Linked DNA regions of Mytilus edulis. The protein of the gene in region 1 interacts with the protein of each later gene in a pairwise test. Links are inferred from orthologs where the notes say so. Each region holds a gene or a part of one and is shown on either strand. Other genes may lie near its edges. The genes, in order: pre-B-cell leukemia transcription factor 1-like, C-terminal-binding protein 1-like and homeobox protein Meis1-like.

Evidence for each region.
Region 2: the proteins of pre-B-cell leukemia transcription factor 1-like (region 1) and C-terminal-binding protein 1-like interact in a two-hybrid assay, tested with the Drosophila melanogaster proteins (2 studies listed by BioGRID, with this or other methods). The link is inferred for Mytilus edulis from reciprocal best matches to the Drosophila melanogaster genes exd and CtBP.
Region 3: the proteins of pre-B-cell leukemia transcription factor 1-like (region 1) and homeobox protein Meis1-like interact in binary tests that used the Drosophila melanogaster proteins (3 or more experiments, as listed by UniProt). The link is inferred for Mytilus edulis from reciprocal best matches to the Drosophila melanogaster genes exd and hth.

The regions. Positions count from the first base shown.
Region 1 is NC_092345.1:80,585,849-80,589,611, reverse strand, and holds the start of pre-B-cell leukemia transcription factor 1-like, read left to right. Parts: upstream 1-1,359; 5' UTR 1,360-1,591; coding exon 1,592-1,779; intron 1,780-1,916; coding exon 1,917-1,990; intron 1,991-3,763. UniProt on the Drosophila melanogaster protein: Transcription factor which acts with the selector homeodomain proteins altering the regulation of downstream target genes such as wingless (wg), teashirt (tsh) and decapentaplegic (dpp), thus affecting segmental identity.
Region 2 is NC_092347.1:74,060,430-74,064,192, reverse strand, and holds the start of C-terminal-binding protein 1-like, read left to right. Parts: upstream 1-895; 5' UTR 896-1,135; intron 1,136-1,532; exon of another isoform or gene 1,533-1,879; intron 1,880-3,763. UniProt on the Drosophila melanogaster protein: Corepressor targeting diverse transcription regulators. Hairy-interacting protein required for embryonic segmentation and hairy-mediated transcriptional repression.
Region 3 is NC_092346.1:31,664,817-31,668,579, forward strand, and holds the start of homeobox protein Meis1-like, read left to right. Parts: upstream 1-1,375; 5' UTR 1,376-1,597; intron 1,598-3,763. UniProt on the Drosophila melanogaster protein: All isoforms are required for patterning of the embryonic cuticle. Acts with exd to delimit the eye field and prevent inappropriate eye development.

The DNA.
Region 1 (3,763 bases):
ATTTCGATACACATGCATATGGCTACATAAAAGCATGTACAAAGCGGCTATATCCTTTGGCACAAAATTAAAATAGACGATTAAACCAATAACCCGAAGATAGATAGGACCTATAACAATATTTAGAGAATTGTTTACCATTTTTACATATTTAGCAGCTTTTGAAACAATAGGCTAAACATTTGACCTAAAATTCTAGATGTTATCGTTCATATGATGTTTTGTTCAGTTATAATGGCCTTTCGAAGCCAATGGCTCCTCTGTAAGTACATGTATATGAGTGCCCATAGGAGTTTTGTGTCCGTCATATTAACTTTCATCCATGTTTAACTTAGCTGTCAATAAGATTGACATGAATGATTTATTGACAATTGATTTTATGCAATAATGTGTCAATTTGATGGTTTCTTAAAAATTGAAGAAAAAAAATTGTGTGTATCCTTATACTCTGTTTTGTGGGGTGTTTTTTTCTTCAATTAAATACCGCAGTAAGCATGATACTACAAGTTCATAGACCTCAGAACCATGTTGTTTTTTTTCATCTTCTTTTGGTATACTAAATGCCAAAGTGAAACAAAATCTTGAAAAATAAATGCAAGATTGGACATGAAGAAGAAAAGCCCCCAAAAAATCAGGATATATCAACACTTGTGAGGCTGCAATCATGTATATTAAAAAACCTGTCAATGTGAAATAACTTTCATATAATTTTATTTTTGACCTTTTAGTTCAATTCATAAATGTCTATTTGCAACTATTTCATGTTTATTGAAGATGAGGTAAAGTTTACACAAAATGGTTGGAAGCCTCTTGGACTTCAGTATAGCCTGACAAAGGGTACATGGTTGGTCACACAGAAAGATATTTTAAAAGGTAATTTTGCATAAACTTAAACGGATTATTGTTAGTCATGCAAGTTACATTACTAAAACTGTCTATAGGTTGCATTTAATGCGTAGCACTATCATACAGCTCCTTTCAGATTGTCCTCATTTAAAGACTTGATGATTGTCGATTTTTAAATATAATTCTTATCCTTTATCACAAAAAAAAATATCTCATTTTCTAATTAAAAAAAACGGATTTTCTTTAAAAATTGTTTAATTGGAATGCATTGCGAAAGGTGAAAATACGTAGCGAAGCATTTTTGTTTTTTATTGTGCTTATCCTTCCTGGGGCCTCTAATAGATAGTCATCTCATAATCATCTCCGAGCTGTCAATCTTCGTCAAGGGCGTGTGGTATCGGGACTAATTTTTCCTCATTTCATTGGCTGTTATTTATATCTAGTTAAAACATTCCTTACGGAAAAATACGAAGATATCGAATCTGCGTTTTCATTGGATGTTTGTGCATTAACGGAGAGAATGATGTTCTTTGCATGCATGACGAGCCGCCATTTCTGTTTAGAGGCATTTTGACTGGCAGTGACAAAAAGCCCTCCCAGATTGGCATAAGTGTGGACATTGTTTACGTTTAGGATTTGTTTATTATCCAAACAAAGGCATTGTAGGAATTAGTGCTAAGTGTTTTAATGACTTAACATAGACATAAATGGATTATTAAGGTCGAATAAAACCTACTGTGAAATAATGGACGACCAGCAAAGAATGATGCATAACCAGGGACAAATGGCGAACACTAATGTGCTTCAACAGTATGGGATTCCTCAACAGGGAGACGATCCCTCGGACCAGAGAAAGCAAGAAATTGGTGATATTCTTCAACAGATAATGACAATTACAGACCAAAGCCTTGACGAAGCACAAGCAAGGTGCCGGTACATGCCTTCCTTTATTCTATGCCTGTCGTCTCTCAAATTTTCTCTTACTCTCTTATCTGTTCGATATATTTCAGCGCGAAGTTATGAAATAATATTCCTAGTTCTTAGTAATGCTCTTGTTTTCTTTATTGCAGGAAACACACATTGAACTGTCACAGAATGAAACCTGCATTATTTAGTGTATTATGTGAAATCAAAGAAAAAACAGGTGTGTAAAATTTACCCTTTTTTAAGCCTCTTGTATGGAAACCTATATTATTTTTCCAAATATTTTTTTTGTATTTTTTTTTAGTTATTTGGTAAAAAAAGTAAGTTTGGTAAACATTGTTTGTACATTTGTAAATTCATATAATTTACTAACAAACAAATACTTTGTCAAAGATTTGTGACTTAATTAACAACTATGTGTATTATAGATACACATTTAGTGATCTAGTTGCACATAAAGTGATAAAGTCACAGTTTTGTATCAAAGTAAGGTTAATGACAGTATTAAAGAAAAGATCAACTTGCCAAGTAGGGAAAAGTTTCCCAAATATTGAGAACTATCCCTGAAATACATGTAAGGTCATAAGCCAAATGCTAAGAAAAACAATATTATATTCAGTCTTCACTCAAAAAAGCATGCATGATCATGCATTTAAAAGAAAATGGAATATTTTGTTTGTTAAAAACATTTTTTTTTTAAATTTCAGTTAAAAATGTTAGTTACTGTGAACAATAATGACAATTTTAATCAGCAGTGATCAGTGTTTATCAGCGTGAAACTTGCAAGTTTTAAACTGAATATGTGCCATTTCAACTAGAAAGAAATAGTTACATATTTTTGGGAGCATTAAAAAAATATCTCAGGGTATCAAATGGCTTGTTGTAATATTTGTGACTAATTTTGGCTGAAAAATCAGTTCTCAAGTGAGGAAAAACGGGGGGGGGGGGGGGGGGGGGGGGGGGGGGGGGGGGAATTAAGTCTATCTATTCCAACCAAAAAAAAAATGAACTGTGGAAAAAACTGTTTTTGGCTTATTTTTCAAAATGTTTTATTGCATGATAACTTATAAACATTTGTGGGAGACTGTATATAATAAGAATATAACTACAAAAACGTAGGACAATTGAAATTGTTGCTGTACTTGTAATTATAACTTGGTTCAAATTAATCAAGGTTCAAATTAAACAATGTATCAAGCTGAAGTTGCAAATACAAATGTACAATTATATTTGCTTCCATCTATATATTGAAAAGCAAATTAATTAGTTAATCCAGATATAATTTTAAAAGATTTAGAATTAAGCTAAGTTAATACTGAATCTGTTGCAGGGGGTCATAGGCGGATCCAGGGGGGCCCTGGGGGGCCCGGGCCCCCCTTTCGTGGGAAAAATTTGGTTGATTATATAGGGCATCATTGAAGTATGGCTGGAGCGGGCCCCCTCTTAGGTCAGTCAGCGGGCCCCCCCTTAGGAAAAGTTCTGGATCCGCCACTGGGGGGTGAACTGTTTTCACTGCACTACCATTCAATATCTCATTGTTACTACTGGTCATGATCTTAAAAGGGCAATTTTTATTAATTTTGGTGGTATCACTATAACTGTTTTAGAGTTATACCCCTTTACAAATAGATAAAATGTTTGAATTTTTCTTCTCCGTACTCTTAACTTAGTTTGCCTCAACCAAAAATTATGAAACTTGTACACAATGCTCATTACCACAAAATACAGATCAAGTTCAAATTAGGTAGCATCACTATTACCTTTCTTTAGTTACAATGTATGTCCCTTTATAACTTTATATCATATGAAAAGTGGGGACAAATTGTCAATATCTGTGTCCATAGGGATGCATTCCCCAATTATTTGTATTATGGGCAAGCCAGCTGAAAATAGAAAAAAAAATCTGCAAAACAAGATCAACAAAAAAAGATTGTTGTCATGAATTCTTGTCTAGTCTACAACTTGGATAATAAGTGAAGATGACTCAGATGCA
Region 2 (3,763 bases), on another chromosome or scaffold:
AAACATTCGAATTCTATCCAATATTCCATTCACTAAGGACGAGAGACTAGTGTACACATGGCATTCGATAATAAAAGAGTTTTGACAACTTCACCGGCTTTCATCTACAGATAACGTTGTTTATTATTTTTTTTACTAAAAAAAAATATTTGTGGAAAAATTATGTGTAACGGCAGCTACGCCCCCTGCACAATTCACAATTTTTTTATTCTGTTTTCTGTGAACTGTTGTATTAATGTAGGTGTTTATTAATATTCGAAATGTACTAGTATATTATTTATTTATGTATTTCTCTGTCCTGAATGTTCCCTGCTGCATTTATTTATGATATACAAAATTAATGTATTTCAGTCATGCATATATATTATGTTAGTTATACGTCTTTGAGTCATGTAATATTGTTAATTTAACAGAATGTTTTATATTACCAAATATACTACTGTTATCTTTATTTACACTTTGCTGTGTGGTCATTGCTGTAGCTCAATATCATATCACCATTGTCACAAGTTAAATCGAATAAATTTCAGCGGTTAAGAAGTGAAGAAGTGTATGGCGCAGTACGAATGGGAAACGAAATAAAAACAAAGAATCTATCAAGGGGTTAGAATGTTGATCTATCGTATAAACTAAAGATAGTAAATAATATTAAATCGTATCACAATTTAGCAATATGATCAATATGTGAAAGCTTTAAACATAACGAGAGTTAAAATGGCGGGAAATAGAGCGTCCTCAAGTAGATTTCGAACGCAACCTAATAATAAAATAAATAAAAAAAACATATTTATTTATTTTGTTTATTTTAGTTTATCATTTGCATTCAAATTGTATGCAAAAATAAAATTTTAAAGGATATTGGATAAAATGTTTGTCCTCCGAGATTGTGCGAGATTATATTCGGCTTGGATAGCCTATCGGAGAGCACCGGCTTGTTACGGCCTCCAAATTACTCGTTTTAAATCACTTTAAAGGGGGAGTATTTACCCACATGTGCACATGTTTTACAATTAATAATTTCTGCATCTATAGACACCTGATAAGGTGAGATATTACGAGTGATATATGTTATTTGTGCCGCTGAAGTTTCAAAGGATCATCACCTCTATTCTTTGTCTAAAGTGCTAATGGATAGGTGAGCTAATTTTGTTTACTTTCATCTGTAGTGACACACTTTCATTATGTTCACTTACATTTAATTATCACCGCTTTCATTCAGTTCCCCTTCTATATAATTAGATGTAACGTTTTTGTTAATACATCGAAAGACTTTGATTTGAAAAGGGATGAAATATCTGGGTCAACCATTTTGAGATCAAAGGCATGCCTCAATGTATCGGATATGCACATTTATAGTTCATAATCACAATATTTAATCAATTATTTCATTTCTGTCTTTAAGTTAATTAAAATCAACAACAAATGCACATATATTAGGTTGTTCTGAATACACAAATGCCCTATAAACAGAAATTGAAAGTCGTTAAAAATTAAATGGAAGGACAAGTTGGCATTTCGTTTCGGTGCAGTTTATGCAAATGACCCCCAGCAAAGTAGAAGGGTGTCCATTACACGCCAACATGGATTTATAAACTATTTCCTGTCATTGTTTGGTTGATGTGTATTACACAGTGGCACAAAATGATGTCTATTATAGCAGACCATTGCAGACAGATAATCAAATGATTTATTATACATATTGATTAACATGCTAAGTTGTATTGATGTTTTAGTATGTGGTTTATTTTTGATCTGATATGCTATTATCTAACAGTAGTGTACTTTTCTTGATTGGTAGTCATAAGATATGTGTGTAATATACGTGTGTATCTTTTTGAAGATCAATAAGTTCTTGTGGTAATAAAGACATGTTTATCATGTGAGTTGATATTGAATTGATATTAGTATCTATATGTAAGTTGTTACAGGTTAAATACATTAAAAGAAAATATTTAAATACAGATAAATCCATAAAATGGATTATCAGTTATTTAAATGGCAAATATTGTACAAGCTATCTGCAGGCTATTTAGATTTAGATGCAATTATTTTCTTGTGCAATAATTTTTTTTATTTTTTATTGATTTAAACAGTAATTTAAATGAATTATATAGTAGTTATTAAATACCAACTTGAGGATATATATTTGCATTCATAGTTTCCTTATTGTTTATTATTGGATAGACACAGTGACAGACAGGTTATCCATACAATTTGTACTTTTCAGCTTTCATTGATCAGTTATTTTGAAATAAGCTTAATACTAACATGCATATAGTGCATTATTTTAGACCAAATAGGGAATTATTTTCTAATAGAGACTTGTATTTTTGAATTTTTATAGAACTTTGAAACTGATTTACATAGATACAACTGCTTATCTGGATGAAAATAATTGTAATTTGCAATTTTGTTTATGTTTATACCACAGTCACTGACCGTTTTAAAACAGGATTAATTGCTACTTTTCTAGAACTAAGAAGTGACTAAAGAACTTTAATACATGTAACATGCAGTGTTTCTCCCTAGAGGGTTTATGCATTGTGATACCTTCATGCATTAAATTTAAGCCACCATCTTTATAATTTGAAATGCCCTATTACTTTTACAAGCCTTCAAAATTCATAACTATCATCCTTTCCCCGATCTTTAAAACAGTTTATTTGGTGCAAACTAAAGATCTGCTTGTATATTATTTTTTTCTCTTGAACCTACCAACTTTATGAGGTGTATTGTAGATTATCAATAAATTATCTTGAACATGATATCATAAACTTAAATAATATGTAAACAGCTTGAGCAATGATTAATTAAATTTTGTCACTGGAAGAAAGTAATTTGAAGTTTGAAAAATTGCATTTGGGACACTGTTGATACATTTTAACCTATGGGGAGTAAATTAAAGACATTAAATTTGTGTACATTTGTACATGTAGATGTCCAATTTAATGTCTTAGGTCTTCATAGTGGATCAGCTTCATAGCAGCTGAAAACAACATATAATGGGATTTTTCCGCAAAATAAAGATCATTCTTACATACATATAAAAAAGAACATGTGGTATGATTGCCAATTAGACAACTTTCCACAAAAGACCTAAATGACACAGACATTAACAACTATAGGTCACGGTACGGCCTTCAAAAATGAGCATAGCCCATACCGCATAGTCAGCTATAATAGGCCCCCCGATAAGACAATGTAAAACAATTCAAACGAGAAAACTAACGGCCTTATTTATGTAAAAAAATGAATGAAAAACAAATATGGAACACATAAACAAACGACAACCACTGAATTACAGGCTCCTGACTTGGGACAGGCACATACATAAATAATGTGGCGGGTTGTACTGTAATAAAAGGTGCCAATATTGCATTTACAATGAACCTTTTCATGATAAGCATGCTAGCATAAGGTTTAAATGTTTTCAGGGTATGTCCCAACATAGGCTTGAAATACTTTATATATCATTGTTAGTATTGTTCAAAATTATAGGAATTATTTTAACATTAAACACAGTGGACAACTGTAGGACAACCAGATTGACAATTTATTTCACCATGGTGACTGGAAAAAGCTAAGTAACAGAACAGCTTCTTCACCCATGCCATTCAGTAGCTTAAGCTCTGACACATCGTGCATGTATGTGGAAAAAGTCCACATTGCATACATGAATTACAATAAAACTTCACATTTTAACAAGTACATAAACATGTACATGATGTAGGAATACATTAAGTTTGCGATTTCAGTATTTTGT
Region 3 (3,763 bases), on another chromosome or scaffold:
GTTAGTATGAGACAGTGTGCGTTTCAATAGACTTATCAAACAGTGAAAGTTGAATCATTGGACATTAGAATTATACATAAACAGACACCAGCCTCTTCAGCATCGGTTTTATTCAGTGTTGGACTGGAGAAGCTGAACTTTGGTTTTCTATTTGAATTTTTACGACTAAGAAAAAGAACCAAATGTTGTGGCACCAGTAAAATTGACACTTAATTTACGTTTCAGCTAATAAAGATAATCATCAAATTTAAATTTTTTGAGACTGGAGAATCTCAAAGAATGACCTGATAGAGTGTCCTATTTCTAAACTAATAACGTGTGCAACCTTTTGTTTTATGATAGTCGAGACCAAACTGGATTTGGACTTAAAGCAATTTATAGAGTTGGGACTAGTATTTGTAAACAATATATGATGAAATGATGATAATTTTAATAATATTTTCATGTATGAAACACTACAAAATATCCTTGGCTGTTTTGTTTGAAAACAGATTGATTACTGGTTGTCTTGCATCCGATGTCAAATGTTTCATGAATATCCATTACAACAAGAACTTGACCATATATCAGTAAATATAAACTTAAGAAGATGTGGTATCCGTCAATGAGACAACTGTCCACGTGACAAGAGACCAAATGACACAAAAATCAAACTAAATGTCACCGGCCTGCCTTCAACAATGAGAACAACAGTTTAATCTATCGAGATGCAGGCAGTCTTGTAAAACTGAAACGTCCACAGCCGCGCGTTAGTGCGTATTTATACATCCCGCAAAATATAGGTGTTTGCTGTCATTTGAAAAGCCGAGGGAGTCATATAATTATATAATTCGATGTATTATCTACACTTGGAGTCGACTTAGGGGCTAGAATTTAATTTCCCCAACTGAGTTTTAAAAAACAATTTATACAGTCAATAATTAAGTATTAAATTAATAACGGAACGTGCGTGTTCAAATTTCTCCATAAAAAGTCCATAAATATATTTCATTAGTATTTAATAACTTGTAAAAAAAACTATTTTAAATACACAGTTTTGCACATCTGAATAAAAAGGACGTTTTATTATAATAAAGATGCAGATTTCTGCTAATAAAGACACCAATAATATCTTCAAAAATAATCATCACAATAGGAGTTATATTTCAAAATGTTTATCACTGAATATGAAAGAACTACAATCTGATGAGAAAAAAATCCTTAGAATCATTTTATCTCATTAGCAAAACTGCTGAAGTAAACTGTAGTGAGAAATTTTGTTGCCTTACGATTCGTCTTTAACTGGTCGATTGACAACTCGGGGAGAGAATATGATAATTTTATATATACGATATCCACAATTATTATAAGGAAAGTTTTGACATAGCTCCCACCCACCTTTGAATAATGGTGTTTGGAGGTGTTCGTTACTATTGTATGAGAGAATTTCACCCATCAATGTCATTACAAGCTAAAACACGGACTCATAAAATATTAGAATCTGTCTAAGGAAGTCGTGTTTTCACACAAGTATTTGACTAAAATATTGACATATGGGTTGTAATCCAGTCCTGGCTATCTTAATCAAGGGATTATAAAACTCACTGTCGCACACAAGGTAAGAAGCTTTTAATCAACACTTTAGTAGAGAATATCTTCAGATATAATTAATTTGTGGTAAAGAATCACGCAAATTATTACTGATTAGTTTTCATTTTTGTAACATGTTACTTTGTTATACATGACATAATATTCAGGTTGACTGGTCATCGATTAAAGCGGACCTGGTAGAAAGCATTACACAGTTGATTGCTTCGTGACATTTTGACAACATGCCCCTCCCCAACCTGTCCGCAATTCATTCAAAATTCACTGCCCATCAATTTTTATACACATCATTGATAAAAGAAATATCTATTAGCCCACGATTATTTATGGTTGTTTACAAATTGTCAAAACTGATCACCGAACAATTACAAAAGTAACTTTTACGTTGTGTGGAGCTAGGGAAAGAAGGAACTTAAAAACTGTGATCAAGTTTAAATGGAATTGTTTCATTTACAAATTTAATTAGTGCATTCTATATAACTCCGACTATTTTTGGGAAACTTTATTGTACGTTGCAGTATGTCTGGACTTATAATTAATTAGCTGGATTTTTGTTGTGCTTTTATTTGTAATAATTGTCTGTTATCTTATCAATATTTAAAGCAGATGTATTTTATTTGGGTTTTATAGGGGAGAAGTTATGCATAAGAAAGTAAACTCTACGGTGTGTGTAAACCTATCTATTTGGATAGAAAACACAACACGCAAACACCTTTATCTATTCGTATAATTTTGTGTTCCATATCAATTTGGGGTTACTCATGGTTAACATCGCAATATGTCAAAACTGAATATGTTTTTACGCATTCATGTAACAACATAATTGATATTTTTCGATTTTCTGACGCTGTTAAATGATTTTCCATTTGAACTGAATAATCATAACATAATATAAGATTATTAATACTATTATTATAAACTTTTATTATTAACTTTATTATTATTATTATTATTAAAATGTTATTATTAGTATCTATTATTATTATTATTATTATTATTATTATTATTATTATTATTATTATTATTATTATTATTATTATTATTATTATTATTATAATCATTTTAACTCTCTTAACTTTAAAAATTGGTTATGTGTTAGCGTTCCTGATGAAGGCATATCCAGAAACTCGCTTCGGACTCACAAAAGTTTGCGGGGAAAATATCTACTTTATAGTTACAACTTATTTGAAATATATGCAATACTATATCTGTTGTAGGTCGACTTTTTTTGGATATTTGAATCATGTTGCGCCACATGGGATTATTTTCTCTTTAAATTTATTCTTAATTATTCATATATTGCATTATTTTTGTAGTTTAGAAATTACAAATTCAGACATGCAATTTTTTAAATTCCAAATTGCATCGATAGAACTAATAAAATGATTTGCGTCATAACTTGTAAATTACCAATATCATACAAAAACGGCCATGGCCAAATCAGAGACGTTATTATGTGCAACCATATTTTGTTAAACTTTTAATATTTCCGATTTTAGAATTAAAAAGATTTTATGTGAACGATCTAAATTATTATTAATGTAATATTGAATGAAACTTGAATTAGCATTATTGAAAGAAACCTTGAGTGAAAGTAAAAATGGACCTTGAAGGTCAGAATGAAGTTTACATATAAAATTAGTCTATGCATATTTATATATATAAAACTTTGTCTGCGAACAATTTGTAAGAGGAAAATTAATATCTGGTTATTTCTAAACCCTGAGGATGGGAGTTTTTAACGACATTGACTGGCTATACAGCCCTCGCACGGTTGGTTCTAAACCCTGTTCATATATATATGTGTCTGTCTGATTTGTCTGTCAATATTAGTCTTTTAGATATATTTTACAGTGCAAAGTTTACGAATACAGTTTTTGAAACCAGCTCTCAAATCCAAATTACAGTGGAAATTGTAAACGCATTACTTGGACGCACGTGCATCAAATTGAGGTCTTTAAAAAGGCCCAAACTTAGCCTCCTAAAACTCTCTATAATATTCTACTTGTAAGCATTTTGTTTAAGAAACACTGCACTTTAATTTATGATGTATATAAGCACAAAATTACTTAATCATGTTTCAAACTTCAAAACTTGTCTTGTGATAATTTATAAATACATAATAAAACTGAGGAGTTTAATAAGTAAGATCTATTACGTCATGTCTATTTACATA